2 linked regions of the Cricetulus griseus genome follow. Each later gene encodes a partner of the first gene's protein in a complex. Links are inferred from orthologs where the notes say so. Each region holds a gene or a part of one and is shown in the gene's direction. Other genes may lie near its edges.

Region 1 (15,826 bases):
AAGGATGTGCATAAGGGAAAATTACAAAAATCTACAAGGATTTTGCAAAATGTAGTTTATCCTGGAGACAGCATGTTTTTTTGTTTGTTTGTGACAGCATGTTTTAAGGAAGATTCCAGCCTCCTTACTGAGCCATGAGGGAAGATGGGGCAATTTCTGGCAGATAGTTAGGAGGATATAACTAGGGCTACTGGGTGGATAGTATGGAAAGACATTCAGAACTGTCTCAGAGAATCGGAGAGTCCCCAAAACTGGAGGTGCTCACACAAAAGCAGGGGTGCTGAAGTCAATAACCAAGCACCAAAGAGAGCTTACACTGTGTTCCCAATCTGAGCCTGGAAGTAAGGCTTCATGTTAGCACTGGCCATTGTTCTCCCCTGATGGATTCCAAATATTATGAAAGGGAATGACCAGCATGCTCCTCCTTTCACTGTCTGTGTAATATGGAGCAACTGAACTCTGACATGCTGGGGAGGGGGAAGCATTTGTACCTTTAGGAAGACATGTGTGGTGATATTTTGATTGTGCTCTAACAAATAAAGCTTGTCTGGAGATCAGAGTGCAGAGCCAGCCACACTAGTTAGCCTTAGAGGTCAGGCTCACACCTTTAATCCCAGCACTTGGGAGACAGAGGCAGACAGATCTCTGGGAGTTCAAGACCAGCCTGGGCTACACGAAATTGATCCCGTATAAAAAAGAAACAGAGCCAAGTGGTGGTGGCTCGCACTTTAATCCCAGAACTAAGGAGGTGGAGACAGGAAGGGATGTGTCTGAGCAGAAAGAGGAGCATAAGTAAGGCGGAGATAGGAGATCATTCAGTCTGAGGATTCCTAGAGACAGGATCACCTATTCAGTCTGAAGATTCAATAGAGTAAGACCTAGTGGCTGGCTAAATGTGTCTTTTCTAAGATGAGACGAGTGGTGTTTGCCTTTCATAAGACTTGTCTGTCATGCTCTAAACATCAGAGGGAGAGTATGGGATCTAGGAGATCCATTTCTTCCTTTCTTAATTCCATATTGTTATAAAACAAATATGAGGGGCTGGAGAGGCAGCTCAGTGGTTAAGAATACTTACTGTTCTTTTTTCTTCAAGACTGGGCCTCACTATGCAGCCCTGGCTGTCCTGGAACTGACTATGTAGACCAGGAAGGCCTTGAACTCACAGAGATCCTCCTGAATGCTGAGATTAAAGGTGTGTGCCACCACACCTGGTGACTTGCTGCTCTTATAGAGTCCCCAGGTTCTGTTCCCAGCACCCACATGTGGTTTGACAACCACTCAAAACTTCAGTTCCAGGGAATCAGAGCCCTCTTCTGGTATCTGAGAACACAAGGCATGCAAATCTGCCAGACACTCATACACATATAATAAGAATAAACATATTTTTAAATAAATAAACATGTATTTTTGTTTAAAAATGAGTGATAAGAGCATCATATGGGTTTTATATAATTATATTGTTACAGATAAATAAAGACAATAAAATTTAAAGACTGTAGTTTAAATTTTCATCATTTTATTTTTATGTGTATAGGTATTTTGCCTGCACCACAAGCATGCAGTGTGTATATACATATATGCATACATATATGTATACATATCTTAACCACTGAGTCAGCTCTCCAGCCCCAATAATACTGTTTTTAATGTGTATGTGTATATGTGTGGTATATGTATGTATGTATGTACATATACATACATGTGTACTTATGTATACATACATGCCTGAGAAGTTGTGGAGATCAAATGTCAGCACTGAGTGTCTTATTGCTCTCTTTTGTTCTTACATTTGTTTTTTAATTTTCAGAGAACAGCTTGTAGGAATTCTTGCTTCCACCATGTGGATCCTGGATATAGAACCCAGGTCACTAGGCCATCCTGCTGGCCCTCTCCACCTTATTTTTTAAGACTTTCAGAAAGACTGAGTAGCCAACAAGCCCCAGGAATCCTCCCTCTTCTCTGCCTCCCAGTGCTGGGGTTCCAGACTTGTGTTACCACACCCATCTTTTATATGGGTGCTGGGGGTCTGAACTCAGGCCTCCATGCTTCAAGGTAAGTACTGTACTCATTGAGGCCTCTCCCCAGCCCTAGGAGTCATTCTTGACTCCTGCAGGTGACTAGCTTTTCCATCAACAGATATCTAGATAAAGGAAATGTGGAATACACACACACACACACACACACACACACACACACACACACACACACACTGTTGTTCACGATAAAGAAGAAGGTGTCTCTTAAGAGAATGAATGGAAACAAAGACCACCTGGTTGAGTAAGATAAGACAGACTCAGAAAGACAAATGTGAAACTTCTCTCTAAAGATACATACATATGACATGAAAGTAGAAAATGGACTATTTTATTTGGGCAAAGGGAGCTAGTTTGACTGTGGGCACAGGAGAGAGCAATGGGGGAAAGTACTGTAATAGTAAATAATATATTTAAATGAAAGTGTCATTATGAAACCCATTTCTTTGTATGATGAATATGCACTAATAGGGCTTATTTTTTAATTAAAAAATATGTTAGACAGATCTCTGTGAGTTCAAAGCCAGTCTGGTCTACTTAGTAAGTTCCAGGCCAGCTAGAACTGTATAGTGAGACCCTGTATCAAACAAGCAATGAAAAAATGGACTATCATATGGCTCAGTGGGTACGAACACTTGCTGCCAAGACTAATGGCATGCATTTGGTCCCCAGGACCCTCAAATTTGGCATCAAAAGCACTCACCCACTGGGCCATCTCACTGGGCCCCTATTTTCCTTAGCCATACAAAACCAAGTTTACCAAAGCTGCAAGAAATAAGTCCTTATATAGAAATATAATAAATACAATTTGGAATAAATTTCTTTTGGGAATTATTTCCTTTCAGCCTAATGCATACATGGTCATTCATTCATTCATTCATTCACTCAATGGATAGTGAGTTTTTATTACATACAGACATTGAGAATCTCCGCTGTCTCACTCCCCCATTCTAAACTCTGCCCGGATGTTCAGCTGGGCAGCTGGCCACACTCCTCCCATTCCAGGCCCTATCCCTCAGAAAAGTCCACCAATGGTCAGCTCCTCCCTTGAAGCTGCTCAAGACCATGCCTACAGGGTATTTAAGACCTGGTCGATAGACCTGCTATTTGCTCTCTCTCCTGCCTTCCCAAGAGTCACCTGGGAGTTGCTTTGCTCTGCTTGCTCTGTTTATTGAATCTCATCTTATTAATTCTGTTTGATTTGGCTTATTGCATTAGCAGAGGATGCCCAATAACCAGGGATTCAATACTTATCAATAAACACATGCCCTCAATGGTCAGAGGATTTGAGAATGACCAAATACACTCCTTACACTTGAGGTGCTTCCAGGCTTCTTGGAAGGGGATTATATGCTTATAAATCATTCAGATGATGAAGGCCTCACTACAAAAACAAGAGCAGAATGTTCTAAAGAGGACACCAGTGAGGTGAAGTTTATTAAAACTCTCTTCATTCTTTGAGGTTTCAAAGGGCCCCTTCCTGGAGGTGTGCATCTCTCACTAGGCAGTAATTTCTGGAAATATGATGCCTTATCTATTGGGTAAGGGTATGAGCATCTATCACAGAGCAATCTTCTGGTTGCTGTTGTTTGATACAGGGTCTCATTACACAGCCCCAGCTGGCCTAGAACCCACTCTGTAGACACTGCTGTCAGATCTGTCTGCCCCTGCCTCCTGAGGCGCACCATCACACCTGAGCAGAGAAATCTCCTTAAACATCCTTTATTACATTTGTTTGTTTGTTTATTGTTGAAGGCACTAGTATAGAGGTCTTTTCATCATGTGGGACCCGGGTCATCAGGCTTGGCAGCAAACACCTTTACCTGCTGAGCCATCTTGCTGACCACACACAGCACTCTTTGAAAGTCCAGATCTCTCTTCCTTGTCCTGAAATCTGTGGCATTCGTTTTGAATCCTGAGTGGACTTCAAAGTCAAGATTACTTTTATTATTTTGATTTTCTTTGGTATGGGGGGGTCTCATGTAGCCCAGGATAGCCTTAAATTTGTTGTGTAGTAGAGGATGAACTTGAACTCTTAATCTTCCTCCTTCCAGCTTCTAATACTAGGAGTAAAGGAATGTCCCCACCACACCCGGGAAATGTCCAGGGAGTGCTAGGATGCACTCCTCCCCTGAGGAATGAGGAAGGACAGAAATGTAGTCCAGAATAACTCAGTCCAGATCAGCTGCCATCATGGGTGTGGGAATGTGGAAAGTGCTACCCTCAGCCTGCTGTGGGGTAAACCTTGCTCTCCAAAGATGTCCTTATCTCTTGGGGGAGAACTGTCAATGAAAGTACTCATTCTAGCAGGATCTGATGGGAGGAAATGCAAAACTAGAGGTCAGAGACCCACCTAGGTCTCTCTTTCCTTAACTAGCCCCTCTTTGGGACACAGTTTCCCTGTGTGTTAAATAGAGAAGTTGAACTGTTTAGTACCCTAAGTCTATAGTTTTCTATAGATCACAAAGCACGGGCTCACTGAGATTTTATATTGTGTTAATTCCTCAATCAAGAATCATCAGTGACTCTCTGGCCATGCACATATAAATTCCTCCCCAGTGATGGAAATATAAAACACTTAATTCTCTTACAGTTTGGTTGTACACTCCAAACATTTACATGAGAGCTGTCTGGGAAATTGAGTCAAAGGAAATGGTTCCTAAATCCCTCCTGGGATCTAAATGGAAAACAAGACAGGCTATGACATCAGCTGCTATTTCCTCTGTGATCAAACTAAAGAACACAAATATCAATATTAAATTATGTATGCATACTTCTTTATTTTTGCGCTTCAGTGCACATCACAGTAAATCCTTTGCTCTTAGCGTTTGGCTCATTATATAGAAAGAACAGGAAACATGGTGAGCTTGGAAATACAGCATTTTAGAGTTAGAAGAGACTTCAAAGATGTGACTCAAAGCATTCGGCATCCAGATGAGGGAAAAATAATGAAGAATCGAAGATGTGAAATGACGCCATCTAATACTGACCTCTGGAGGCATCATATTTTTATTTTGCCTCACCTAAACCCACTGTGATTGGATGACGTCATCACCTATATGCTTAATAGATATAGATTTAGATACAGATATACATAAATAAGCACTATTTAAAAGCCTAAAAGGGGGAGCTTATTTTTACGGGTGTTCTCCAAGACAATTAGAGAGGCCATGCAAAGAGGAAAGTCCAAGTTCACCAGGATGGGCATCCTTGACACAGAAACAATCCCCTTAGACCTGATCCAGACTAGTAAACTGGGCTGCACAAGCCCATTAATACCGCTCGGTCACTCCAGGCACCAGACCTTCCTAAGGAATCTTCATATGAATTACACTGCCCTGGGGCTGAAGAGGTGCCTCATACGTCAACAGCATTTGCTGCTTTTGCAGAGGACCCAAGTTCAACTCCTAGCACACACAAGGAGGCCCACAACCATCTGTAACTGCAGTTCCTAAAGGTTCAACACCTTCTTCTGACCTCCTTGGGCACCAGGCACACACAGGATGCACAGACATCCATGCAGGCAAAACACTCATAAAATAAAAGTAAATAAATCTAAGGCAGGTGGATCTCTATAAGTTCAAGGCCAGCCTGGTCTACAGAGTGAGTTCAAAGACAACAAGGGTTGTTAACACAGAGAAACCCTGTCTTGAAAAAAAAGAGAAAGAAAGAAAGGAAGGAAGGAAGGAAGGAAAGAAGGAAAGAAGGAAGGAAGGAAGGAAGAAAGAAAGAAAGAAAGGAAGGAAGGAAGGAAGGAAGGAAGGAAGGAAGGAAGGAAGAAAGGAAGAAAAGAATTACATTGCCTTTTAGCAGGCCAGACATTTGCTACATGGACATAAACAGGTGCCTCTTTAATTTAACAATTCAAGTGTCTAAAAATCTACAATTTTTTTCAATAAGGATAGTTTTTGGCTAATTTAATCTGTTCTGTGACCCCAAACTACTCAAAAGATCTCAGTATAAGAAAAACAAAGTATTTCCACATCTAAGTGCAGTCTAAGCTACTAGAACTATGTAATTATTTCCTTCCAAATATGTTTTGCCCCACTTTTCAGATAGATGGGATAAGCTTATTGATTTTTGTTTGTTTGGTTTGGTTTTTTGTTTTTAGAGACAAGAGTTTCTCTGTGTAGCTCTGGCTGTCCTGGAACTGGCTCTGTAGACCAGGCTGGTCTCGAACTCAGAGATCCACCTGTCTCTGCCTTCTACATGCTGAGATTAAAGGTGTGAGCCACCACGTGTGGCAAGATCTGCTTGTTGTAACATTCTTTCCTACTTAGGAGAATATACAAACTGGCAATTTTATTATCTGTTTTAGTTTGGTTTTATTGATGTGGTAAATCCCATAACCAAAAGTAACTTGGGAAAGAAATACCTTATTTCAGCTTACAGCTGTACTCCATCACAAAGGGAAGCCAGGGTGGGAATTCAAGGCAGGAACCTGGAGGCAGGGACTGAAACAGATGGCATGGAAGAATGCTGCTTGCTGGCTCGTTCAGCTGGCTTTTTAATACAACCTAAGATCAATTGTACTGCTCATAGTGGGCTGGGCCCTCCCACATCAATCATTAATCAAGAAAATGTCCCCATAGGCTTGCCCACAGGCCAATCTGATGGAGACATTTTCTCATTTGAAGTTCCATCTTCCCAGATGACCCAAGCTGGTGTCAACCTGACAAAAATCTAGTCAGCACACTATCTGACCACAAGTGATGATATTTCAACATTCATACACTTCAAACTCAGTGATGCAATCAGAATTCAAAATGCAGATTGTCAGAACTGGAGGGAACTTTAGGGAATCATATGCCTTCCCTTTGCTACAAAAAAAGTGAGGTTGCAGCCAGAGACTTGTCCCTGATTATGTAGGCAATGGGAGGCCTTGTGGAGCATGATCTCTCCTCCTTCTGAGGCACTCTCTCAGGAGGGCTTGGCTGGAGCTCTTCCTTGGGAATCAGCCCCTCCCACACCAGAGCTGCTTCTGCTAGTCCACTGTATGAATTATAGATGCAAATGTTCACTAAGGCTTGAATAAGCAGATGAAGGGTTTTTTTCTCCCTAACCCCAGGATCTTACATGCTGTCAATCAGGAAGGTAGATAGTTATGCTAACACTATCAATTGCTCTTATAGTAAATGATTGTTCTTATTTAACCCCAAATTCATTGTTGCTATGCAGTGCGCCCTCAAGAAAAGCCAATGTGGCACTGAATTATGTGAAAAATTAAGCTGTCTGATTTCATGTCTGAGAACTCAACGGTGCACTTGGTTTCCTCTCATCTGTACAATGTTAATCAGATCGAATTGGGCTCACACTTGTGGTATTCCAAGGTCTGCATCAGAATATGTAAGGGTCAGCTAACTCCAAAAAGGAGGATACAGAAACGATTTGGGAAACGTTAAAACCTCAGTCTCTGGAGTTCTAGACATCAGTAGGTATGAAATGCACTAGCTGAGGATGGTGACCTTGAACTGTTTGTTTGTGGGGGTTGTTGTTTGTTTATATTGGAGTTGTTTGTTTTTTGAGACAGCCTATCTAGCACAGATTGTCCTTGTAATGACTTTGTAGCTCAAGCTGGCTGCAAATTTGCAGTGACTCTGCCTCCTGTGGGCTGAGATTAAAGGGTGCAGGTGTGAGCCACCTTCCCACTTTGACCTTGAACTCTTGATCCTCATTCTGCCAGCCGTGTGCTGGTTAGGTTTGGTCACCCTGACACAAACTAGAGTCACCTGGGAAGAGAAAACCTCAATTAAGGAATGGCTTCCACCAGATAGATGGGCTTGTTGGTAGATTTGAGGGGCATCGTCATGGCTACTAATTGACGGAGGAGGGCTTAGCCCACTGTGGGCGATGCCACCCCGCACGTGGTCCTGAGTTGTTTAAGAAAGGAAGCTGCTCCAAGAGGAGCGCCCCTCCTTGGTCTCAGCTTCTAGGTTCCGGCTTGAATTCCTGCTTTGGCTTCCCTGGATGATTTACTGTAACAGGTTAGGTGAAATAAACCCTTTCCTCCCCAAGTTGCTTTGATGGTGTTTATTACTACAGAAAACAAACAGCCATCACACCAGGCTTATACGGTGTTAGGGCTCGAACACAGGGCTTCATGCATGCTAAAGTAAACGCTTTGGCAAATGAGCTATATTCGCAACTAAGTTTTTTTCAGGCTGGTGCGTTTTGATTTTCAAATCTAGGAAATGAAGGTTATGATGTGCAATTCGCGCAGTACTTTGTCGGGTACTCTATAAATGCTAGCTAGCTATTATTACTTATGGTGGTACATATGCACACACCTCTCTATTGGACAGCATAAAACAACTTTACAGGTAGCACTCTGGGTTCCAGCCCCGCGGTCGACTATCTAAGAAACAATCGGGATCCACTAAGGTTTGCGATTTGAGACTTAGGCCGCCCCCTTCAGGTCTCTCTGCTTCCTATGCACGAGGGCTGGATGAGGTTTGACCCTTGCAGGTTCCCGTCACTCGACGGAAACGAGGGTGGGACAGGAAGTAGAGTCTGCCTGAGTTCGGGTGGAAGGCGGCCACTGGAGGAGAGCAGGGTGCAGCGCCTGCAGGCTTTGGAGAGAGAGCCGCAATGTTCCGGATCGAGGGTCTCGCGCCGAAGCTGGATCCCGAGGAGATGAAACGGAAGATGCGCGAGGATGTGATCTCCTCCATTCGGAACTTCCTCATCTACGTGGCCCTGCTGCGAGTCAGTGAGTGTCCTTCGCGCTGTGGCCATGAGGCCACGGGTCCACCCCACCCCTGCACGCGGTCGTGGGGCCTGGAGTTGAGCATTCTAGGGAGAACCGGGGCATGCTTGCCCAGGGCGGCCCAACTGCGTGCCCTCTAGGGGGTCTGCGGGTCCTAAGAACGTGCCAAGTGCACGTGGTGGCTGGGGGCGCGTGGTTAAGTCACCTTTGCTCACTCGACGCTTGTGATTAGGACCTTCAGGTGTTATCCCGTGAACAATACCCTCGTTTGACCAACCTAGAAACGGCCCCTGGGAAGTGGCTGACCCAAGGTCATTTGGAGATTCAGAATAAGCCTGACCTAGAATTCCGAGCTCTTAACTCGGCACCAGGCACTTTCCTTCAGTGCTTGCCTTTGAAATCCGAAGAGATTTACTTTCTTTGTGTTTATTTGTACAGAGGCTGAAGTAAAATAGTTGGTTTTCCTTTTTCTGAAAGATGAAAAGAGGCGTCTGTAGACAAAAAGTTAATTTCCTTACTTGATCTTTGTTCCTTTTGCAAGTGACAGCTTGAGTTCAAGGGGGCACACCAGGGTTAAAGACAGACTAACAAATTAGAAAATAGATGGTTAACTGGGTTAAGGCATGTGCCGCCAAGTTGGATCCACATTTGGTGGCAGAAGAGAACCAAGTGATTGTACTCTGACCTCCACCATCTGCACCAAAGTATGCACGAATTCGTGTACACACCACAGAATACATACAAAATAAATAGCAAAGTATATTTGGGGGGGGGGCGGTTCAGACAGGGTTCCTCCCTGTAGGCCAGGCTGGCCTTGAACTCACAGAGATCGGTCTGCCTCTGCCTCCTGAGTGCTGCGATTAAAAGCGTGTGCCACGACTGCCTCAAATATTTTTTTAAACAATTAGTTCTCTAATGATAGAACAGAATTGACTGACCCTCACGCTCTCAATACAACATCCTTCTCATTGTTCTGTGCTTGTTTGCATATAGTTGTCTGCTGTGCAGGTAGAGGCAGGAGTGGTTCAAGTAATTGAGAAACATACCAACATTTTTAGAGTTAACCTCTCCTGGATTTCACTGAGGTGGAGGTCTCATTCATTCAGTGCTGTGTTCTCTCTGTGTTGCTGGCCTCTCCAGGAGAGGGCCTCTTGGAGATCAGAACACTGGCATATGTTCATCTGGCAGCCTCTTGACACTACTTCACCTTTTCCATCCTCTTAACCTTTTCTTACAGAAGAGCTGCCAAGAGAATATTAGCTTAGTGATCTTTGTATCTGATGTGCACCAATTTATCACTCTTCAAAGATTTTTGTCCGCTCGTCTTGTAAGTGAGCTACATGCCTGCATCCATCTGCATAATTCAGAAGGGGATGTCGGAACTCCTGGAACTAGAGTTAAACAGGCAAATTGTAGCTTCCAAATGTGGATGCTGGGACCTGAATCCAGGTCCTCCTGATTGATGACAGGCTTAGCTGCTGGGCTGTCTCTCCGTTCTAGTAATGTCACTTAGTATTCCAGACAGCTCTTTGTGTATCATTTATCAAACCAGCACAGTAACTAGTATGTTCTGAAGGGCATAAGTGACAGGTAGAATCTGAGAAAACCCTGTGCTTTCTTCCAGTTGTTTGTTTGCCCAGTATTGAGAATTGAACCCAATATCCATTTGTTTCCTGTAGACTGTTGTTCTGTTTAGGTTAAAATAACTCCCCGGAGCTAGAGGTATACCTTGGTAAAGTGCTTGTCTGGCCTGTGGAAGGTCCTGGGTTCAGCTCCCTGCACTGCAAAGCAAGTCAAAGGTCCCCACAGTAAACTGTTGGGGTTACTTATAGCCATGGAAGAAAGATGCAGTATGGTGTACTTTATGGTGGTGAATTGAGTGGCACTGGAATGGGCTGCTTTGCCAGGCAGTGAATATTTTTGGTTTGTGGTACTGGTAGAGGCTCAATCACTATTTGGGAGTTGTTGCTAAAACCATATTTCATAAAGGTTTTTTCTTTTACACACAGTTTTATAATTCTGCAGTATAGCCTGCGGACTCAGAATAAAACCTAATTTGGGGTTTTTCTTTCAGCGCCATATATCTTAAAGAAGTTGGACAGCATATGAAGATTGGGATCACATGGATGCATGGCATGAAGAACCTGGTGACAGTTTCTCCTCCTGTCTGCAGATGAATTGGCCCAGAAAGGTGTAAGACTGATTAAATGGACATAAAAACTCTACTTGTTAAGAACAAGTTGGGCCTTGGGAACTGACCTTCATAGCTGAAATATAAAACTGTTTGGGAAGTGCAGAAAGATGTCTTGTGGTCTGGTGTGCCCTTGGGCCTGTGAGAGCCACCTCTGTGAGTGTTGATGGAAATGTCAAACTCTAAGGGGCTTATTTCTGAAATGGTACTGTCTTGGCAGTCATTTCTGTTTACAACTTCTGTATTTTCGAAGAGTCTGTTTGATGGAAGTCAGCATACACCCACAATGACATTTAAGCACAGAACCACCAGTCTATATTTTTAATAAACATTCTGATGAAAAAAGCTTGGGTTTTCGTTTTTTATTTTGTCCCGCTTTTTGCTGGTGATGCCTGCAACCCTGCCACTATTGCTTCTGCTTCTTTTGAACTCTATGTGGCAGTATGCTTCTTTGCCAAAGTCTTAATGGACTGCAGTTTACTGCGTGATGCTAAAAATACAAGCTCCATGAACAGTGGGAAAAATGTATTTTTTTAAAAAGGTTTTATTTATTTATTTATTTATTTATTATGTATGCAACATTCTGCTTCCATGGATATCTGTACATCAGAAGAGGGCACCAGATCTCATAACAGATGGTTGTGAGCCACCATGTGGTTGCTGGGAATTGAACTCAGGACCTCTGGAAGAGCAGTCGGTGCTCTTAACCTTTGAGCCATCTCTTCAGCCCATGCCCGCCTTTTTAACATGTGTTTTTTTAAGATTGTTTTTATTTTGTGTATATGTGTCTGCCTGCATGTATGTATGTGTACCATGTGTGTTCCTGGTGCCCATGGAGACCAGAAGAGGACATTGGGTTCCCTAGAACTTGAGTTACAGGTGGTTATGAACTGCCGTGCTGGAGCTGGGCCTTCTGCAAGATCAGGAACACTTTTTTTTTTTTTTTTTTTTTAAAGATTTTATTTATTTATTGTGTATACAACATTGTGCTTCCATGTATATCTGCACACCAGAAGAGGGCACCAGATCTCATAACAGATGGTTGTGAGCCACCATGTGGTTGCTGGGAATTGAACTCAGGACCTCTGGAAGAGCAGTCGGTGCTCTTAACCTGTGAGCCATCTCTTCAGCTCCACCAGTGTGTCTCCTGGTAACAAGATGCTGCTGCTGCTGCCATAATTTCTGTTTTAGTTATTGTCCACTTGCTGCTGGGTGTATTGCCAGGACTTGGGTTTCTTTTCATTCTTCATACCCATCATACATGTTTGTCACCACATCTCCCTGTGTGCAACCTAGTGTGATTTTGGTTAGACTGATGGTTTTCTTTTCCTACACATTTTTTTTTTCTTTTAACCCCTAGTTTTCCTGTGAGCTTTCCACCAAAGGAACCTTTCATTCACCATGTACCAAAAACAGTTGACATCATATTGGTTTGATCAAGTATCACATCCTCTCCTCTTCCCTAGGGAGTCTTCCTAGAGACTTTGCTTCTCTGTGTATGGCTGTAACTTGGGGACAACCTTTTCTTATCCCGTATTGGGTCTCTTGTTTGCTAATGTTTGCTTTCGTGGAGCTCTGACTGGTGACATAGAAGGTAAACATTTTTAGGCCTTTCTGACCTGATAGTTGCTTTTTTCTAGTCTCACTTTTGATTCTTTGCTGAATGTAGAGTTCTGGCTGTGGGTTTGAGTCTGCTAAGAAATCTGAAACCATTCTGACTCCTGGTCTTTCTTTGAGGCCTAATTTTTCTCTCTGAGAAAACAAGGATCTGTTGTCCTACTAGTCTATTCCATAGTGACACACTCTAGTATGTGTATTTAATTCACTGTGTTAAAACTTGAAACATACCATCCATTAGTTCCCATAAGTTTTGTGGTTTGTTTGTTTTTTGTTTTGTTTTGTTTTATTGAGACAGGGTTTCTCTGTAGCCCTGGCTGTCCTGGAACTCACTATGTAGACAAGGCTGGTCTCAAACTCAGATCTGCCTGCCCCTGCCTCCCCAGTGCTAGGATTAGATCTTTGCACTGTCCTAACCCCAGAAATTTTGTGGGTTTTTTTTTTTTTTTGTTTGTTTTTTTTTTTTTTTTTTGGTGGTGGTGGTTTCTTTCCCTTTATTTTACATCTTCTCTTTGTAGAATAACATACAACCTTTGTGGGGTTTTTTGTTTGTTTGTTTGTTTCCAAGACAGGGTTTCTCTGTGGCTTTGGAGGTTGTCCTGAAACTTGTAGACCAGGCTGGTCTGGAACTCACAGAGATCCCCCTGCCTCTGCCTCCTGAGTGCTGGGATTAAAGGCGTGTGCCACCACCGCCTGGCTAACCTTTGTAACTTTTCTTTGTTCTTCATAGTCTGTTGTCTAAAGTGGCTTTTGTCTGTTTTTCATGTTAGACACTTCGCCTTTGCTAGAGACTAAGTGGGTGGGGCTTGATGGCCTTAGGCTCTTCCTAAGGGAGATCTTTTGGGTATTTAATAGGCAAGAAAGTCTGTGTTGATACCTTTAGGTATTTTATATTAAGCTGTTCATTCCTAAGAGAACATTCTTCCGACTTGTATGTGAAGAATGAAGGCCTTGCTAGGATTCTGGAAGTCCAGTGATGTGGGAGGGCTTCAGTGAGGCCCAGGGCAGAGGGTTGCTAAGCCCTGTAGAGTGTAGACCACATCTGAGAACCTTCCCTGGCTAGTTCTTAGTTTTGGTAACTACCATTTCCCCGAGACTGTACTATGGAACTTTTTTTTTTTTTGCTTTCCAGTTTACAATTGTTGTCTCATCCTCTATCCTTTGAGATTCTAACCGTAAACTGGATAAAAACTTACTGTTATGGAATGAAATTTCAGGCAAGAATGGACATATTACGTTATGCATGTGGTCAGCCCACCATCTTTACCCAGACAGCATATATGTCGGTATTGTATGTAGTAACTTCCATCCACTCCTTAGTTGCAAGCCTGCAGTTTTTGACACCATGCTTGTGAACACTGCCCCAAAGAGAAGTAGATTTGACTTTGGGTCCTGGCCCCAGGGCTTGAGATGCACATCTTTCCATAGCTGAACCTCTGAATTCATTTTCAATTGTGGAATTAGGGTAGTAGAATGCTGGTCAGGGGGAATAATTGGCACTATTACTTGGCACTTGGTAACAATAATTATTGATGGTTAGTCTAATTTCATTTGCTTTTTCGGATATGATGAGGTAGCATGCTGATCCTGATGTAGTCAGACTTTGGAATTATCAGACACTAAGTAGGCTAGTGTGGTGGCATCCACCTATAATCCCAGCTAGAAGGATTTTAGTTTGAGGCCAACTAGGCTACTTGAAAACAAACAACAAAAATCATTTAAATACATTACCAAACATTTACTACCAAAAAATAACCTTGACCAGTCAGTATCTTTTAACAAATGGAGGAGTTTAGGATCAAGTTTCAGTGTGGTATTTAAACAGCTTGCCAAGTCTTAGGGGACTTTTAATGTTTGTGTGCTTTTCCTAAAGATAAAGTGTGGTTGCCACTGGGGATTCTAGGGTATATTCAGGCTGAAATAAGAAAATGTGATGTGGCCAGGCGGTGGTGGCACACACCTTTAATCCCAGCACTTGGGAGGCAGAGGTAGGTGGATCTCTAAGACTTCAAGGCCAGTCTTGTCTACAGAGCAGGTTCCAGGATAGCCAAGGAAACCCTGTCTTGAAAAAGAAAACAAAATGTGATGGTTCAGTTTTTTAGTAAGTGGCTTATTAAGAAACAACCTTGCTGCTACATGGTCCTGAAGTACCTTGACTTTGAGTTCTGCTACCTCTGTCTTCCAAGTGCTGGGGTTACAATTCTGTGCCCAGCCTGTTAGTAGTTTTTTTTTAATTCTGGCTATACTGGTAGTGTTCAGTGCTTGGAACAGACAGTTCTGAAATAATTTTAATTTATTAGAAAATATTTAGGGGCTGGATCGATAGCTCAGTGGTTAAAAGCATTGACTGCTCTTACAGGAGACCCAGGCTCAATTCTCAGCCCCACATGGTGGGTCCCAACCTTCTGTAACTGTTGTTCTGGGAGTCACATTCTAATGACATCTCTGGGCACAAGGCATACATGTGATGCACAGACAGACATACAGACAAAACACTCGTAAGCATAAAATGAGTAATTTTTTTTTTTTTTTTTTTTTTTTTTTTTTGGTTTTTCGAGACAGAGTTTCTCTGTTGCTTTGGAGCCTGTCCTGGAACTCGCTTTGTAGACCAGTCTGGCTTCGAACTCATAGAGATCCGCCTGCCTCTGCCTACCCAGTGCTGGGGTTAAAGGTGCACACCACCAGCAATAAGTAATTTTTTTAAAGAAAATATTTAGACTGCACATAATTGGAGTATGTAAACAGTCTTAGCAGATTTGCTTTTTTGTAAACTTGAAATTGAGAACATTGAGGGAAATGGGGAACAGAAATGTTAATTCCTTCTAATTAATAAGGGGACAGGGCTTCTGCAGCTAAATTAATGCTTTTAATTGCTAACAGTACAACATTAAGAAAACACTTTCTTCGCCCTTTGCAGTTACTGTTGGAACAGCAATAGCTTTGCAACTGGTATATTCAGTAGTTCTTAGGTTGGCAAACATGAGCCAACATTTAGAGTGAAAGACAGGTGCAGAAATCTGAACTATTTGTTTGCTTGATTCCAAGGGGGGGGGGGACCAGCTGACATTTGACTTTTTTTGCCCTGTCATGATTGCTTCATAAATTCTGCATACAGCTCAAGCCATCACAGAAATCACACATCAGGACTGGCTAGCTTTGGTATTTCAGACCTTCGGGTCTACACGGCTCTCCTGTGCCAAGCCAGCAATTGTGACATGAAAGCAGTCAGACTGTTCAGATGAGGGCGCATGGCTGTGTCCCAGTCACACTTCACAGAAA
Region 2 (15,752 bases), on another chromosome or scaffold:
GAGCCAACTAGGAGAAAGCATCTTTAGGCCAAGGTGCCTTGTTTGACAAGTCTTGTTCTTTGCAAAGATGGAACATTATGGACCATTATAAGAGTTCCACCTACTGGTCCTACTTGGTCCTCAGCTGGGAGCAGCTGTGTGGCTTTCAGTGGGTCCTCCTGGGCAGTAGCTAGAGCACTGGTCCTGCACCTCACCACAGTAGATGTAAATAGCCCATCTTTACCACTATAGAGCCAGAACTGGTTAAATGTCAGGACAGCTATGTTGGGGATGCTGTTTCCAATTGGCATACTTTCTGTGTCACTCTGGTGCTCTAGATCCTTCTCGAGAAAATGGGTTGGATTGCACCTATTTTATCATACAGAGGAGCAGGGATCTAAGAAGTTCTACTTAAAGAAGTGGATTAATGCTGGTTTAACTCATGTATTTCCAAATCCATCCATCTTAGTTCTTTTTGTGTGTGTGTAAGTTCTAGTAATTCCTTATGGAATTTGCATTTGATAAGGCTGTGCTGGTTTAGGGCCTCAGGTTTGGGCCATATCCTAGAGGCCCCATATCCTGTACTCAGCTGGTATGTGGATTGCTTGGTGGTGAAGTTCTGAGGCAGAGTCACACGCTCAGAGTATGTTCATCCCAAAGCAGTGTGCAGTGCAGACTGGAGAAGAGGGCAGTCTCTTTTCTGAGTCACTCCTGTCAGTCCTTACAGCCCTCCACCCTTTGCTCCAGGCATAGGGCGCGAAGGGAACCTTTTGATATCTAGCTGCTCTCAACCAAAACTCAATGCAGGCTAGTGGGAGGGATGGCAGGTCACCCTGTACCAACTGATCAACCTCCCACAGCTAGAAATAATGGCCCATTGTCCCTCTGCTTCCTCCTCTGTTTCGCTCTGTATGGAGTGTCCAGGCAGCCTGCCAAATTGCCCTTGTGACTTCCCGGGGCCCAGAATTCTCTCTCATCTTCCTTCCACTGCCTCCCACACCAACTCTAGAGACACAGGGCAGCCACACAGTAGATACAGAAAGGCATGGGGTGAAAGTCATAAGACAGTCTCTAGCAGTGACCCCATGAAGCCAGCTCCTGATCACCTGTTTAGCTTTTGTGGAGGTGCAGGCCCTCATCCAAAACTTACAAGTTAGGAAGGCAGCCATCTGTCAGTGGACAAAAGCCATGGCAGGCCTAAAGCAGTTGACTTCTTTTTTTGTTGTTGTTGTTGTAGTATCAATCTCCCTCAGTAGGGAAGACTTGGAATGGGCAGCAGTGTTCCTGGTGGTTAAGAGCTGCTGTCCTTGGCTATACCAGAGTTGAGCTCAAACTCTGCTTCCCATCCCAGAGCTACAGAGAAACCCTGTCTCAAAAAACCAAAAAAGGAAAAAAGAAAAGAAAAGAAAACATCAATATAGGTAAAATTTTTAAAAGATTTTATTTATTTATTATGTATGCAACATTCTGCTTCCATGTATATCTGCACACCAGAAGAGGGCACCAGATCTCATAAGGGATGGTTGTGAGCCACCATGTGGTTGCTGGGAACCAAACTCAGAACCTCTGGAAGAGCAGTCAGTGCTCTTAACCTCTGAGACATCTCTCCAACCCCAATATAGGTAAATTTTAATTGAAAAAAACTTACATATTATTAAAAGTTTGATATTTTATAACTTGAAGATTTTAAAGTGTTAAAATGTATTGTCTGGACTGGGGGTGTAATGCACTAAAAACTTGAGCTTGGGGCCCTAGAGAGATTGCTCAGTGGTTTTGTTTTCAGTTTTTTTTTTTTTTTTTCATTTCCTTTTGGAGGCAGGGCCTCACTCTGTAGCTGTCCTGGAACTCACTCTGTAGACCAGGCTAGCCTCAAACTGCCTACCTCTGCCTCCCAAGTGCTGGGACTAAAGGCACAGGTTATTAGCACCAGGCCAAGATGGCACAGTGGTTAAGAACACTTGTGTTGCTGGGCAGTGGTGGTGTAAGCCCACTCTGTCTTGGGGGGAAAAAAAAGAACACTTGTTGTTCTTGAAGGAAGAAGACTGGGTTCAGTTCCCAGCACCCACAGGTGTAACTCCAGTTCCAGGGGCTCTGATGACCTCTTCGGGCCTCTGTGGGCACCAGATAGTCACATGGTACACATTCAGGCAAAACACTCATATATATCAAAAATACAAAGTAAAATTTGTTAAAAATAGCAAATTAAGCTGGGCAGTGGTGGCACAGGCCTTTAATCCCAGCACTGGGGAGGCAGAGGCAGGTGGATCTGTGAATTTAAGGCTAGCCTGGTCTACAGAGTGAGTTCCAGGACAGTCAGAGCTGCAAAGAGAAACCCTGTATGGAAAAACAAAACAAAAGAACAAGAATAAATAGCAAATTTAAACAATAATAACGTTGCCAGTGTTCCAGGTTTCTGACTAGATGTGAATAACAAAGTCTTCTCTCATTGGGCTTCGTGCCAACCCAGAGTAGCAGAGTTGGAAGCAGCTATGTGAAGCTTGCATGTTATGCCCTGTTAAGATGTAAGTCCACCGACTGCCCTAATTATCACCAACTAGATTAAGCTAGAGAGGGCCCAACTCTGTTGTGATCTGGAAAATTGAAGAACGCTGTCTTTCCCTAATTTACTTCTGGGATGTTAATGTCTAGATCAGTGTTTTTCATGATGCAGTGTGGCTATAAATGGCACCCCGAGAAACCCACGCACACTGTTCTTCATGCACAGTAGGAATGGTTATCACATGTACTGGCTTAACCTTGGAGACCAGTTAATTCCAGGGTATCCTTCACAGGGGGCTGTGGGTGCTAACTTCCCCAAAGATACCCAAATACCAGTCCATGGGTACATTTCTGCTCTTCCTGGCTTTCTACCCTGTCTGTGCACTCACTCTCTTTCTTAGTTTGAACTACTCTGGGCTCCCTGCTACCCCATCACATTGTGCTCTCTAAAACCCCCAGGGTGGCTGTAAAGAAACTCCCCGAGTCTTCTGTGGCTCCACTGAATGCTTTCCTTCTCTTTCCTGGAAAGGTTACCCAGTCTCTCATTCTGCCACACCCAGCTTGGCTGTTGCTTTCCTCACACACAGTCATACAAGATTGAGGTCTATGGCTGGTCAGTGGTGGCACACACCTTTAATCCCAGCCCTCGGGAGGCAAAGGCAGTCGGATCTCAGTGGGTTTGAGGCCAGCCTGGTCTACAGAGCAAGTTCCAGGACAGCCTTCAAAGCTACAGAGAAGCCCTGTCTCGAAAAACCAAAAACCAAAAACCAAACAACAAAAAAAGATTGAGGTTTATGCCATCAGATAGACTTGTTTTCTTTTTGTATGCGGTGCTGGGGGCTAAACCCCAGATCTTACACACACCAGGCAATACCTTTCCACTGGACCATATCCCAAGTCTTATTATCCTTTATGACTCATTTGCAATCACTCCGTTTTAGTCACAGAGGACTTTGGAGCCTGATTCAGAGTTGTCCTCTCCACTATCTATCCTACAACACCCAAGTGACTCCAGCATCTTTGCCAACAAAATGTGCTAGTCCTACTGTTGTGTGGGATGTGACAGTGCAGCCCACACCAATGTCCTTGCCTCAGTCAACCGGTGGACTTCACAGTGGATTCACAGTGAACCTTATGCCCTCTGGTTTTGTCCATGTCCTTCTCTTTCTTTCCCTTTATCCCTTCCTTTCTCTAAGTCTATAACACCATGGGACAATTGGCAAAACTGCTACCCATGTGGAACAAGCTGAAGAGGAGTGGCAAAGCCTCCCTTGGGAGGTATGAATGTTTATGAAAGGTTGACCAGTGTGAAAACTAGCAACTGCACCCTCCTCTTCCCAGATGTCTATAGCTTGAGACCACTGTCTACAGACACCTCCTGCCAAGACTGGCTAATCCCTGCCCCTATGCTGTGCCTAATAACCACGCTGAGATTACAGGTTTGCAGTGGTAGCAATTAGGGAAACCCACCTGGTCCCAGCTTCACTGTACATGTGTTCTTTCTTTATTCCTTCACTGCCCCTAGCCAGAGTTCTTGGACCAAAGCTGCAATGGACATGGCAGATATACATACTTTTTGCATGTGGGTGCATGTACAAATGTGTACACATGCATGTTTCTTCATGGATGGTTCTCTAATTTACTGAACCAGAGTCTCTTGCTAAATCCAGAGCTTGCCAATTTAATCTAGTTTAACTAGCTATCTTGTCCCAGGGATCCCATGTCTGCCTCCTGAGTGATGGGGTTATAGGTGAACTGCCCATCTTTTATGTGGTTCTAGAGATCCGAAGCCTTGATACTAACATTTACACAGCAAGGACTTTATTCAGCCATTTTCCCAGTTCAAGACCTCCATGCAAGTGGGGCCTGGTGGTACGGCCTATAATTTCAGCTCCTTGGGAGGCTGAAGCAGGAAGACGGCAAGCTCAAGGATTGCCTTGGCAACTTAGTGAGAGACCTGGTTTTGTAGGGTTAAAAAAGGGGTGGTAGAGGGCTGGTCTAAACATTAGTTCAATTCCCAGCAATATACTGACAAAACCAAGCCCTTCCTTCTTAGAAAGGTTCTGTCTCCATAGTTAGGGGAGGGGGCACCCGGACAGGCATTTTGGGATACCTACTCATTCTGTTAGATTATACTCTATTTGATCATGTATATTTCTTTTTTTCTTTCTTTCTTTTTTCTTTTTTTTTTTTTTTTCCTGAGACAGGGTTTTTCTGTGGCTTTGGAGGCTGTCCTGGAACTACCTCTTGTGGACCAGGCTAGTCTCGAACTGACAGAGATCCGCACGCCTCTGCCTCCCGAGTGCTGGGACTAAAGGTGTGCGACACCACCGCCTGGCTTGTTCATGTATATTTTTATATGCCTATCCATGCTTCATTCAACCTTAGCGTAAAAATCAATAATCTAAAAAAAAAATCAATAATATATCTTGGGTGTTTGAGTTCTTAAGTTTGGTGGATTGTGTATCATATAAATCCATGATAAATGAGTTATATATTTTTCTTGCTAACCTGCCTTTTATATAGGAGTGTCAGCTGTGTCTTTAATATTGGGAAGGAATCAACTTCTTTTCCACCCCTGCAATTTTTTGCTCAGGCACATGTCTATCTCCAGTGACCATTAAGCACTGCCCACACACTGTACATTTACAGAGTAAAGCCTCAGACTTGTGTCAGAGAAAATGATGTCTTTGGAGATCAAAAATGGCTACATGTTAATTCATAATATGAGTAAGTCCTGCTTTTGGTATGCAAAGGTATCAAACAGCGAGGGCAGGATATCTCCTATTGGCCAGGTCCATTGCAGACCAGCCTGCCTGAGCTTGAATGAAGGGATGAATCAGGTGTTAGAGCCTGATCTCTTAGACACAAAGACTCTTCACATTTAACTCTTTACAACACAGCCTCAGCCATGACCAGGCAAGATTGCTAGTAAACTTGGTTCTGGATTGGCAAAGGCCATCTAGCCATCTTTTCCCAGTTAGGAGGAGAATGAAAACTTGAGTAGAGGAAGAGTTCAGAGATAATTGGGTTGTGAGCATGTACGTGTATGGAGTCTTTGTTGTCAGTCCAACTGAATGCCTATTAAACACTGTTAGAGATGGCTCAGTGGTTAAGAGCCGTGGCTGCTCTTCAAGAGGACCCAGGTTCTATTCCCAGCACCCACATGGCAGCTCACACCTGTCTCTAACTCCAGTTCCAGGGGATCTGGTATCCTTATACCAATGCACATAAAGTTAAATAAGGTATTTAAAAAAAACCAACACTGTTAAACATTACCTTAGAGATGAGGAAACTGAGGTTCACGGCCTAAATTACCTGAGTTTTATTGAATTGAAGCCTCAGTGGTGTCCATTTCTAATCTTCTTTATAGGTGGTGTATGTTTGTGTACAGGTATTCACTCTTATGCCTGAGACCAGAGGATTTTGGATAGTCTCTATTGCTCTTCACCTTACTCCCTTGAGCCAGAATCTGTTACTGAACTTAGAGCATACTGTTTGCTGGCCAGGTGGGCAAAGAACCCCAGCGACCCTCTTGTTGCTCTTTCTGGGGCTACTATTGGCTTTTAATGTGGGGACTGGGTATTGGAACTCAGGTCCTCCTGCTTGCCCAGCAAGAGTTCTTACCCACTGAGCCCTCTCCGAAGGCCCTGTTTCTATCTCTATTAGCTTGAGCATTTCTTCTTTTTTTCCCCCTATTTGCCTCGTGCTGTAGCTTAGCCTCAAACTGGAGGCAATCTCCTGTGCTTCCCATGAACCAGGGCTGGCAGCTTCCTCATTCTTCTTACACAGAATTTGAGAACAGCATTCTAATGACTGGTCAACACGAACCCTACAGTTCTTCCCGTATCTTTCTGGGCCTCTCAACCAGGGAAAGCTTATCTCCCTACTGGAGCATGGCTTCTGCACGAGTGTGAAGCCATCCACATGAGTGGGAAGGAGGCTTTAGGAGCACAAGCCCGAGGCTCTCAGAGTAGAGCCCACTGAAGGTGGCTCAAGTTTGTTCCTCTGGGAGCCCAGCCCCACCTCAGGATGACATCGCAGCGGGCGGTGAACCGATGTAAGAAGGGGATGGAGGCTGCAGATGGCGCAGCGAACCTCACTTCTACTTGCACCTCCCGGGCTCTTAAGCCGCTGTGGAGGCAGTGACTGCCCGCACGTTCCCTTGCTGGGTCACTCAGCACGCAGGCGGAGGGGTGCACGTGACCCCGCGGGCCGCATCGCCCCGCCCGTCGTGACGCGCGTGGCCTCTCCCTTCCTGGCCGCGCGGGTGCCGTTGCACCGCCTCCGCCGTTCCCCGGCCCTCGCTTCTGGGGCTGCCCCGTACACTGCCTGACCCGTGGCCCTCCAGCTCCTTCTCGCCCCGTCCCCACTGGACGGTCCGAGACAGCTCACCCCGGGGGATCACCGTGCCCTCGACCCGCGTGGCCACTCCGGAGTAGGTGCGAGTGGGTGGCGGGCGGCGCGGCAAGGACAGGCGCAGCGGACAGCCCGGGCGGCCGCGGCGGGGTCCTGGCTGGGGGAGGCCAGGCTTGCGGCGGGGCGCAACGGTGTCTCCTTCACTTCGCCCTCCAGCCGCGGTGGCTGCAGCGCAGTCTCTGGGTAGCGGAGCGGCCTCGGCTGGGAGCGGAGCGGCGGCGGCGGCGGCAACGCCCCTCAGGACACCCGCAGGTACTACGTCGCTGGCCTCATGCCGATCCCAGGGGCCTAGGCCGGGCCGGCAGCCACAGCGGACTCGGGGCGGCTCTGCTCCCCTAAGATGGCCGCAGCGGCCCCGGCCCCCTTTCCCTTCTGTCCGAGATCCCCCTTGGGCCCTTTGACCGTCCCCTGATCGCACTTCTTGTCCCTTCTACAGATCTCCTTTTCCCCGAGGCTTCGCTATGGCGGACTGTTGTGTACCGATATGCCCACGGCGTAAGTAGATCATTAGAAGTGTCTTCGGCGGGGCTGCTGTGCCCTTCTTTGGAAAACCATAGCTGGTCCCGCCTCGATTCACATGCTTGCAAGGACTTGGAAAGTTCTCTCCACTTTGTGCGGCCACTAAAGCGTACCGCCGCCTCTGCTGACCGACGTGGGTGCTGGGCTGTTGGGTTGCAGATCGGGGGCTCGCGCCTGGGGCGTTGGTCCTTGGCGGTACCCACCCTCTGCTTTTGGATGTGTCGTTTTACCAACCCGAAAGCAAAACAAAAACTACTAGTTGTTGAATTTCACCCTGGAGGATTAGATGGGCCACTTTGCAAGAGGAAGTAGTTCTCCCTCTGCCCGTAGAGATGGAGTGCACTACAAGGTCATTACACGTGTTCCTAAGGGCGTGGATGTGCTCTTTAGAATGAATGAGCTGCGGCCGGAGCTCAGATTCCTTGCCCTTAAGCCTCACTGCATTGGCGGAGTACTTGGGAGTCGTATTAGTGTGTTTAAAGTGCCATTTGATATTTAGTTGCTGTAGACACTTGACTGAAACATAGATGGTTGTATTTCTCTCCCCTATGTCTCAAGATGTCAGTTCCCAGAGTGTTAAGTGTTGGTTTTGTTCTTGGAAGATATACCAGGTGCTTTGCTAGGGAAAATGCCTAACATTAAATTTTGGTTTTTGTCTTAGTTAAATCAGTCAGTCCACTTGAATTCTGGCAAGTGTGTGTACACTTGTACTAGTGTTTCGAGCAAGGCTGTAGACTTTTAAGTTTAGGAATTAGATAGGCTTGCCCTACCCTATAAAACCAAACTGGGGAACTGTCGCAGGTTTATATTACCACATAGCTATTTAGAAAGTAAACTGTTGTTACAGATGGCTGTTAAGAGTAAAGTGGTATAGTTCTCATTGGTCTGCTTGAATGTAAATATTAGCAGTAGGTCATAGTCCAGTCATGTTAACTATAGAATGTTTCTTTTTACTAGCAATGTGTATCCCTCCATGCTATGCTGACCTTGGCAAAGCTGCCAGAGATATTTTCAACAAAGGATTTGGTAAGGACTTTTCTTTTAATTTTAGCTTAAAAGAGAAAATGTATGCTTGCATCCCTTTAGGACATTGACTTGCTTTTCCAGACTGAATATCCTGCTGGTTTAATGTTTCTGCCAGATGCATTTTATGTTAGACTGCTCCACTGTACCCCAGCTTTTGTTCAGGCCCAAGTTTATGAATTCTAACCTTTTAAGGGAAAAGCTTGTACTTTTGGGTTCTGGGTTTTTTGTTTTTGCTTTTTTTTTTTGTTTGTTTGTTTTTTCCAGATAGGGTTTCTCTATGTAACAGTCCTGACTGTCCTGGACCTCAATTTATAGACCAGGCTGGCCTCGAACTCACTGAGATCTGCCTCCCAAGTGCTGGGATTAAAGGTGTGCACTATCCTGCAAGAAGCTTGTACTTTTATTCTCTTTGGTGACTGAGCAGGCCTTGGTTGAGTAGAGCTGCCCTGAATTACTCTTTTAGTTTTGTGTCTGTGGCTCCTGGTGGAACTGAAACCTTAAGGGGTTGTGGGCTTTTTGAGTGAGTTTGAGTTTTCTTGAAGGTTGTGTTGCACATACCCCTTCTCCCACTCCTTTGGGATAAATGTCCTTAAGGTGTAGTCATCAACAATAGGCTATTCTGCGGAAGTGATTTTTTTTTTTCCTTCCCAGACAGGACTTTTTGGACCCTGTCCTGGAACTTGGCTCTGTAGACCAGGCTGGCCTCAAATTCACAGAGATCCACCTGTCTCTACCTCCCCTGTGCTGGGATTAAAGACATTGTCGATTTTTCTAGTCTCTAACATTTAAAAAGTGTCTTGGAAAGGGTGTGTCAGGAAGTGGAGCCAATTTCCTGCCAGCATGCTGGGCAGCTGACTGCTTTTAAGTGCCTTGCAGGTGCTAGGCATCGGTACATTTTTGTTCCTCTGGACATTTGAATTATTTTAAATGTAACATGAATAATGGGTATATATCTGCAGAATAGTCATGTCTTTGCTCTCTATTCTTTGAAGGCTTTGGGTTGGTAAAGCTGGATGTGAAAACAAAGTCATGCAGCGGTGTGGTAAGTGTCTAATAAGTTCTTGTAACTCTTTTAATTTTATTTTAAGATTTATTTATTTAATGTATAGAATGTTCTGTCTTCATGTATGCCTACAAGCCAGAAGAGGGCATTGGGTCTCATTATGGTTGTGAGCCACCATGTATTTGCTGGGGGTTTGAACCAGGGTCCTCTGGAAGAGTAGTCAATGCTCTTAACCTCTGAGCCATCTCTCCAGCCCCTAATTTCTTAGCCTATAAATGTCTATAGTTGTTTTGCCTTAAGGAGGCAGAAGTTAATTTGTTTTGAGTGATTTGCATGTAATCTGATTTATTAGCTTTGGATATTTCTGCTTTTCATGTAGTTTTGTTATATTTGTGTGTGTGTGTGTGTGTGTGTGTGTGTGTGTGTGTTACTATGATTGTACAAAGAAGTGGGGAAAGACATTGGTTATTTGGGACTATTTACTCAGGTAGATTACAAGCTTGAAGGCCAGAAGCTTATAATCCACGCCCTTGTAACTTTCTCCTAATACCTGCCAAGGTATTCTGGGCTTAATAGTAACTTGTTTATTTGACCATACTGGTCATTTAATATAATGGCTATATTCTAACAGTCATCCATGGAGATGTCTACATACCTCTGTCCTGACCTGAATATTGCTTATGCGTTTATCCTCCCCAGTTGTTGAAACAAGGGATAAAGTAAAATATTGTATGCTTTTTTTTCTTTCTCTAATAATTTTTGTTTTGAGATTCAGAGATGGTTGTATTGTGTACATGCTAAACTATGATTATTGGGCACTGTGATAAATGCATGTTCTGAATATAACTAGTATTAAAGTTGTTCCTGGTAGGGATTCTTAATGGTCAGACCTGTTGCATTTATGGGGTTTTATATTGTTCTGTCCTGTGGTTTCCTTGGTTTGCAAAGAAGCTAAATATTTGGTGATGGTTGACTTGGCTGGGTTAAGAGTTTACAGAATATTAGTTAGCTGATTGCTGGAGATTGAAACTAGAGCCTTGTAGTTCTACTACTAATCTCTATTTTCATCCTACCAGGTTTTAAATATGTTTGTGCAGGTGTGTTACATTAAAATAAGTACCCCATCCTTGTTTTTAAAAAGCTTACTTTTAGACTGGGAGTATAACTTAGTGGTAAAAGGCTTACCCAGTTGTGTATGAGGTCCAGTGCGGAAAACAAACAAAACACCCCCTTCTAGTTACAAAGACAAACTTTAAGCTGAGAACAATTGGAGAACTGTATTGAGCACTAGATTTATAGATTTATAAGCAAAACATCCTTTTTTTCCTCCTGCCTCCCTAGTGCTGGGATTAACAGTGTGCACCACTACCACCACCACCACCACCACCACCACCACCACCACCACCACCCAGTGGCCCTTTTCTTTCTTGAATTGCAGAGATGTTCAGGCTACCCCAAAATGTAGAAGAAGTTCATAGTGATGGAGTGAATTGCTTTATTGTTGGTTTCATCTGTTCCAGTTTGACCTACAGACTAATACTGACCTTGTTTCTTGGGTATTTGTTGGCATTCATTAGACTAGCCCTTGATCTCAGGGACTGATGGGTGGTAGTAGCTGGAGCTTGGCAGTTTCTGATTTTAACTCTGCAGGTATCATAACTTCTGATAAACTTAAAACAAAATTTACATCAATTTTAGACATGGCTTTCCAGTGACTAGGTATGGAGACACTGATACAGAAACCCTAGGTCAGAACTCTTGACAGGCTTCTGGAAGGTTACATTTTATCTTGGGACACGTCCCTCACATGCAGTGAGTGCTTCATAAAGACAGATCCTCTGTGCTCCCTTTTTACCACAAGGGATTGGCAGATATATTCTATACAAATCCATGATTAAAACTTTTCTTAAAGATTTATTTTTAATTAAAGATGTTTTTATTTCACATGTATGAGTGTTTGCCTGTATGTCTGTTTGCCTGGTGCCTGTGGTGTCAGTTTTCCTAGAACTGGAGTTATAGATGGTTATAACTTGCCATGTGGATGCTGGGAACCAAATTTGGGTCCTCTGTAAGAGCAGCAAGTGTGTTTACTCACTGGCTGCTTTTCCGGTTCAAGGCTAAGCTTTCTATAGTACTTCCGAATTAATTCTGTTTTTTTTTTTTTTTTTTTTTTTTCCTGCTGACACATAGTTTATATTATTTATGATAAAACCCAAGAAGCTCCCCTACTCCACTTTTTTTTCCTCTTTTTTTGAGACAGGGTTTCTCTGTAGCTTTGGAGGCTGTCCGGGAACTTGCTCAGTAGACCAGGCTGGCCTTGAACTCACAGAGATCCGCCTGTCTCTGCCTCCTGAGTGCTGGAATTAAAGGCATGCACCACCACTGCCAGGCTAAAAAACTTATTTTTATTTTATGTGTATGGTTGTTTTTTTGCCTGCATGCGTATCTGTACCATGTGTGTGCAGTACCCACAGAGGCCAGAAGAGGGTGGTGGATACTCTGAATTGGAGTTACAGACTGTTAGTTGCCTTGTGGGTGCTAGCAATCAAACCTGAGTCCTCTGCAAGAGGAACAGCTCCTCTTAACTACTGAGAGCCATCTCTCCTGTCCCACGAAAATACTGTGAGTTGGGTGAGGTGTGGCAACACACACCTTTAATCCCAGCACTAGGGAGGCAGAGGAAGGCAGATCAGGCCGGCCTGGTCTATAAAGGACAGCCAGGGCCACATAATTGAGACAGACAACAACAAACAGCAAAAAGAAGATAGGTAAGTTGTTTGGAAGGGCATGGAACCTAGTGAAGACTCATTTCAGAAAAGTAGAGGGAGGACTGGAGAGATAGATGGTTCAGCATAAGCGTGGGTGCCCCTCTTGTAGAGGCCCTTCCTAACCACCCACATGACGGCTCACAGCCACCTGTAACTTCAGCGGCAGGGAAGTCAGACGACTCTGGTCTTTAGGACATCTGCACTGAATATTCATTCACATACATATGCAAATGAAAAATTCTTTAAAAAGGAAAAAAGAAGGAATATTGGGATAGTTGAGCCCAGATTTTACTTAAAATTTTTCACATCTTGTGTGTGTCATGGTGTAGATGTGGAGGTGAGAGGACAGCTTGGAAGACTCAACTCCTCTTCCTACCATGTGGGCTTTAGAGACGGAAGTTAGGTTGTCAGGCTTGGTTAAACCCAGTGAGCCATCTCACCAGCCCCGTGCGCTTAATCTTTATTGATTAGTTAGAAATGTAAGATGGCATTCTAGTGAGGTCAGTCAGTCCGTCAGGCTAATTTGTCACTGTTGAGTTTGCTTAGGAAGTAGCACAGTGTGAAGTTAGAAGTGTCAAATAAGTTAGGCAGTGGATTGTTCCAGGCTTAGCAGACATTCATGAAGTTGTTTATTGTCTTCTTAGGAATTTTCAACATCTGGTTCATCTAATACGGACACTGGTAAAGTCAGTGGGACCTTGGAGACCAAATATAAATGGTGTGAGTATGGTCTGACTTTCACAGAAAAATGGAACACCGATAACACTCTGGGGACAGAGATTGCAATTGAAGATCAGGTAGTGTTTCATAGACTTGCTTTTGTGTCCTTTTTGCATTTCAAAAAGGAAATAAAATGGAACATAAATCTTATATGCTCTTTTTCTCCCAAAATAGATATGCCAAGGTTTGAAGCTGACGTTTGATACTACCTTTTCACCAAACACAGGGTAAGCACTTATGTTTTTACAGGCACTGAACCTGAAGCAGTCTTGTCTGCTCAGAAGAGAAGCAGCTTCCTCCCTTTCAGTAGTTCACTGCGGAGGCCACTATCTGCTTTTGAACACTGCTTGCCACCATTGACTTTCTTCAGAAATTGGCCTCTTCTAGTGCTAATTGTGTCCTATCTTTTGCGACTGTTAGTTTTACAAAGCACTTTTCCTATGATGGGACAGTCCTGTCACCCCATGTGGGTTTGTTTTCTTTAACTTTTTGGTTGTTTTTAACGCTAAAATTGTCATACTGTGGCTTGTTTAAATCCGTCTCATGCTCACCAGGTAGAGCTAGGTATATAAACTTTGTCACTGGTATCAGTTTCAAACCAGTCTCTCCTTTTTTCAGAAAGAAAAGTGGTAAAATCAAGTCTGCTTACAAGAGGGAGTGTATAAACCTTGGCTGTGATGTTGACTTTGATTTTGCTGGACCTGCCATCCATGGCTCAGCTGTCTTTGGTTACGAGGGCTGGCTTGCTGGGTACCAGATGACCTTTGACAGTGCCAAGTCAAAGCTGACTAGGAGTAACTTTGCAGTGGGCTACAGGACTGGGGACTTCCAACTACATACTAATGTGTAAGTATTTCTCTATAGGCTTTCAGGGTGGTATCTGATGTCATTTCTTAGATCTATTTTTAATTTAAAGGGTATCTGACATGTGGTAGTTCTAAGTGCTCCTCAGTAGCATATAGTGTAGACACTCGAGAGCATGCTCACATCAACAGGGGTTGAGGTGCTTTAGAAGAGAGAGAGGGGTTAGACCAGTGCTTTCTGTGTGTGACTTGATAACCAGGCATGTGTGGGGTCCTGGTTTAATAGGATTATCTTAGCATGTCCAGTCAGGTGGTGCATTTTACCTTTAATCCTAGCATTGGGAGGCAGAGGCGGCTGTATCTTTCTGAGATTGAGGCCATCTTAGTCTCCATAGTGAGTTCTAGGCTGGCCAGAACTAGATAGTGAAAGGCATTTTTTACCCAACTCAAATTAGGTTATATAGAAAAGGGCTTACCTATATTTCCATGACAAAACAGTATTTGGTAAATAACAAATACAAAAGAGAATTTCCCATAGTCCTACTAGCTAGACACATATATTGATTATCTGTTTGATAATGTTATGGCACATGTGGATTTAACTGTGGAAAACTGAATGTCACAGGGATTGAACTTAGGTCCTTGGGCTTGGTAGCAAGGGCCTTAAGACCCAATAAGCCATCTCTCTCTGGTCCTAGATTCAGAGAGAAAGAGAGAGAGAGAGAGAGAGAGAGAGAGAGAGAGAGAGAGAGAGAGAGAGAGAGAGAGAGTTTAAGTCTCCTTTAGCCCCATGTAACAAGTTTGTCTGTCCCATAGCCAGCTCTTAAATAATGTACAGAGACTCCTTATTAATTATGAAAGCTTGACCTCAGCTTAGGCTTGTTTCTAACTAGCTCTTATAACTTAAATTAACCCATTTCTATTAATCTACTTGCTGCTATGTGTTTCCTGGCATATATCTCTCTTGCATGTCCTCCTTCCTTCCTCTGCCTCTGGCTGGTGACTTTCCACTTTTTCTCAGAGCTCTCTCTGTCTGGAAGTCCCACCTATGCCTCCTGCCTAGCTGTTGGCTATTTAACTTTTTATTAAACCAATTACAGTGACATATCTTTACACAGTGTAATCTCACAACAGCCCTGCCTTGCTTAAAACTCACGACCTTGGTGTACAGTCTTTGTTTTGGTGTACACTTTCTGTGTGTGCATGTGTATGTGTGGTGCTGAAGGGAGTTGAATCCAGGGATTCATCCAGGACAGGCAGCGTTCTCATTGATCCTAACCCTCTGCTCAGTGTGTGTGTGTGTGTGTGTGTGTGTGTGTGTGTGTGTGTGTGTGTGTGTGTGTGTGTGTGACACACCTTAATCCCAGCGTTCAGGACACAAACAGAAGGATCTCTGAGTTTGAAGCCAGCCTGGTCTAGTCTACATAGTGAGTTTCAGGATAGCCAGGAATACATAGACTCTGTCTTTAACGACATGAGGCTGGGCTGGAGAGATGGCTCAGCAGTTAAGAGCACTGGCTGAGAGGACCTGGGTTTGATTCCCAGAACCCACATGGCAACTCACAATTGTCTGTAACTCCAGACAAAGGGATCTGATACCCTTACACAGGCATATATGCAGGCAGAACACCAATGTACATAAAATAAAAGTAAATCATTAAAAACATGAGGCTGAGGCAGAAGGATTGCCATGAATTTGAGTCTCAGCCAAGCCATTGCAAGTTTTCAGTAGAACTTTGCTCTTGTATACCAGGTAAGCATTCTTCCACTATTCTACCTGCTCAGTTCTGGTAGTGGCTTATATTAATTAACATGTAATGCTACAGTATTACCCTGTGCCTTAGAAGTGGTTACATTGTCTATTCTAGATTCTAATTCAAAATATCTTATAGCAATAATGGGACAGAATTTGGAGGATCAATTTATCAGAAAGTATGTGAAGATTTTGACACTTCAGTAAACCTTGCTTGGACATCAGGTACCAACTGCACTCGTTTTGGCATTGCAGCTAAATAC

The links.
Region 2: the proteins of Tomm5 (region 1) and Vdac2 are in contact, whole or in part, in a cryo-EM structure (PDB 9EII), measured with the Homo sapiens proteins. The link is inferred for Cricetulus griseus from reciprocal best matches to the Homo sapiens genes TOMM5 and VDAC2. Residues at the interface, in NP_001001790.1 of Homo sapiens: Ile25, Arg29, Leu32, Ile33, Ala36, Arg39, Val40, Phe43, Ile44, Lys47; in NP_001171752.1 of Homo sapiens: Val38, Thr60, Gly63, Asp239, Tyr258, Gln260, Thr261, Leu262, Leu268, Leu270, Val286, Leu288.

What each region holds. Positions count from the first base shown.
Region 1 is NC_048595.1:98,336,763-98,352,588, forward strand, and holds Tomm5 (mitochondrial import receptor subunit TOM5 homolog), read left to right. Parts: upstream 1-8,533; 5' UTR 8,534-8,621; coding exon 8,622-8,742; intron 8,743-10,813; coding exon 10,814-10,848; 3' UTR 10,849-11,277; downstream 11,278-15,826.
Region 2 is NW_023276807.1:199,142,793-199,158,544, reverse strand, and holds the start of Vdac2 (voltage-dependent anion-selective channel protein 2), read left to right. Parts: upstream 1-6,995; 5' UTR 6,996-7,149; intron 7,150-7,333; 5' UTR 7,334-7,358; coding exon 7,359-7,392; intron 7,393-8,373; coding exon 8,374-8,442; intron 8,443-9,434; coding exon 9,435-9,484; intron 9,485-12,857; coding exon 12,858-13,010; intron 13,011-13,107; coding exon 13,108-13,160; intron 13,161-13,551; coding exon 13,552-13,779; intron 13,780-15,628; coding exon 15,629-15,752. UniProt on the Homo sapiens protein: Non-selective voltage-gated ion channel that mediates the transport of anions and cations through the mitochondrion outer membrane and plasma membrane.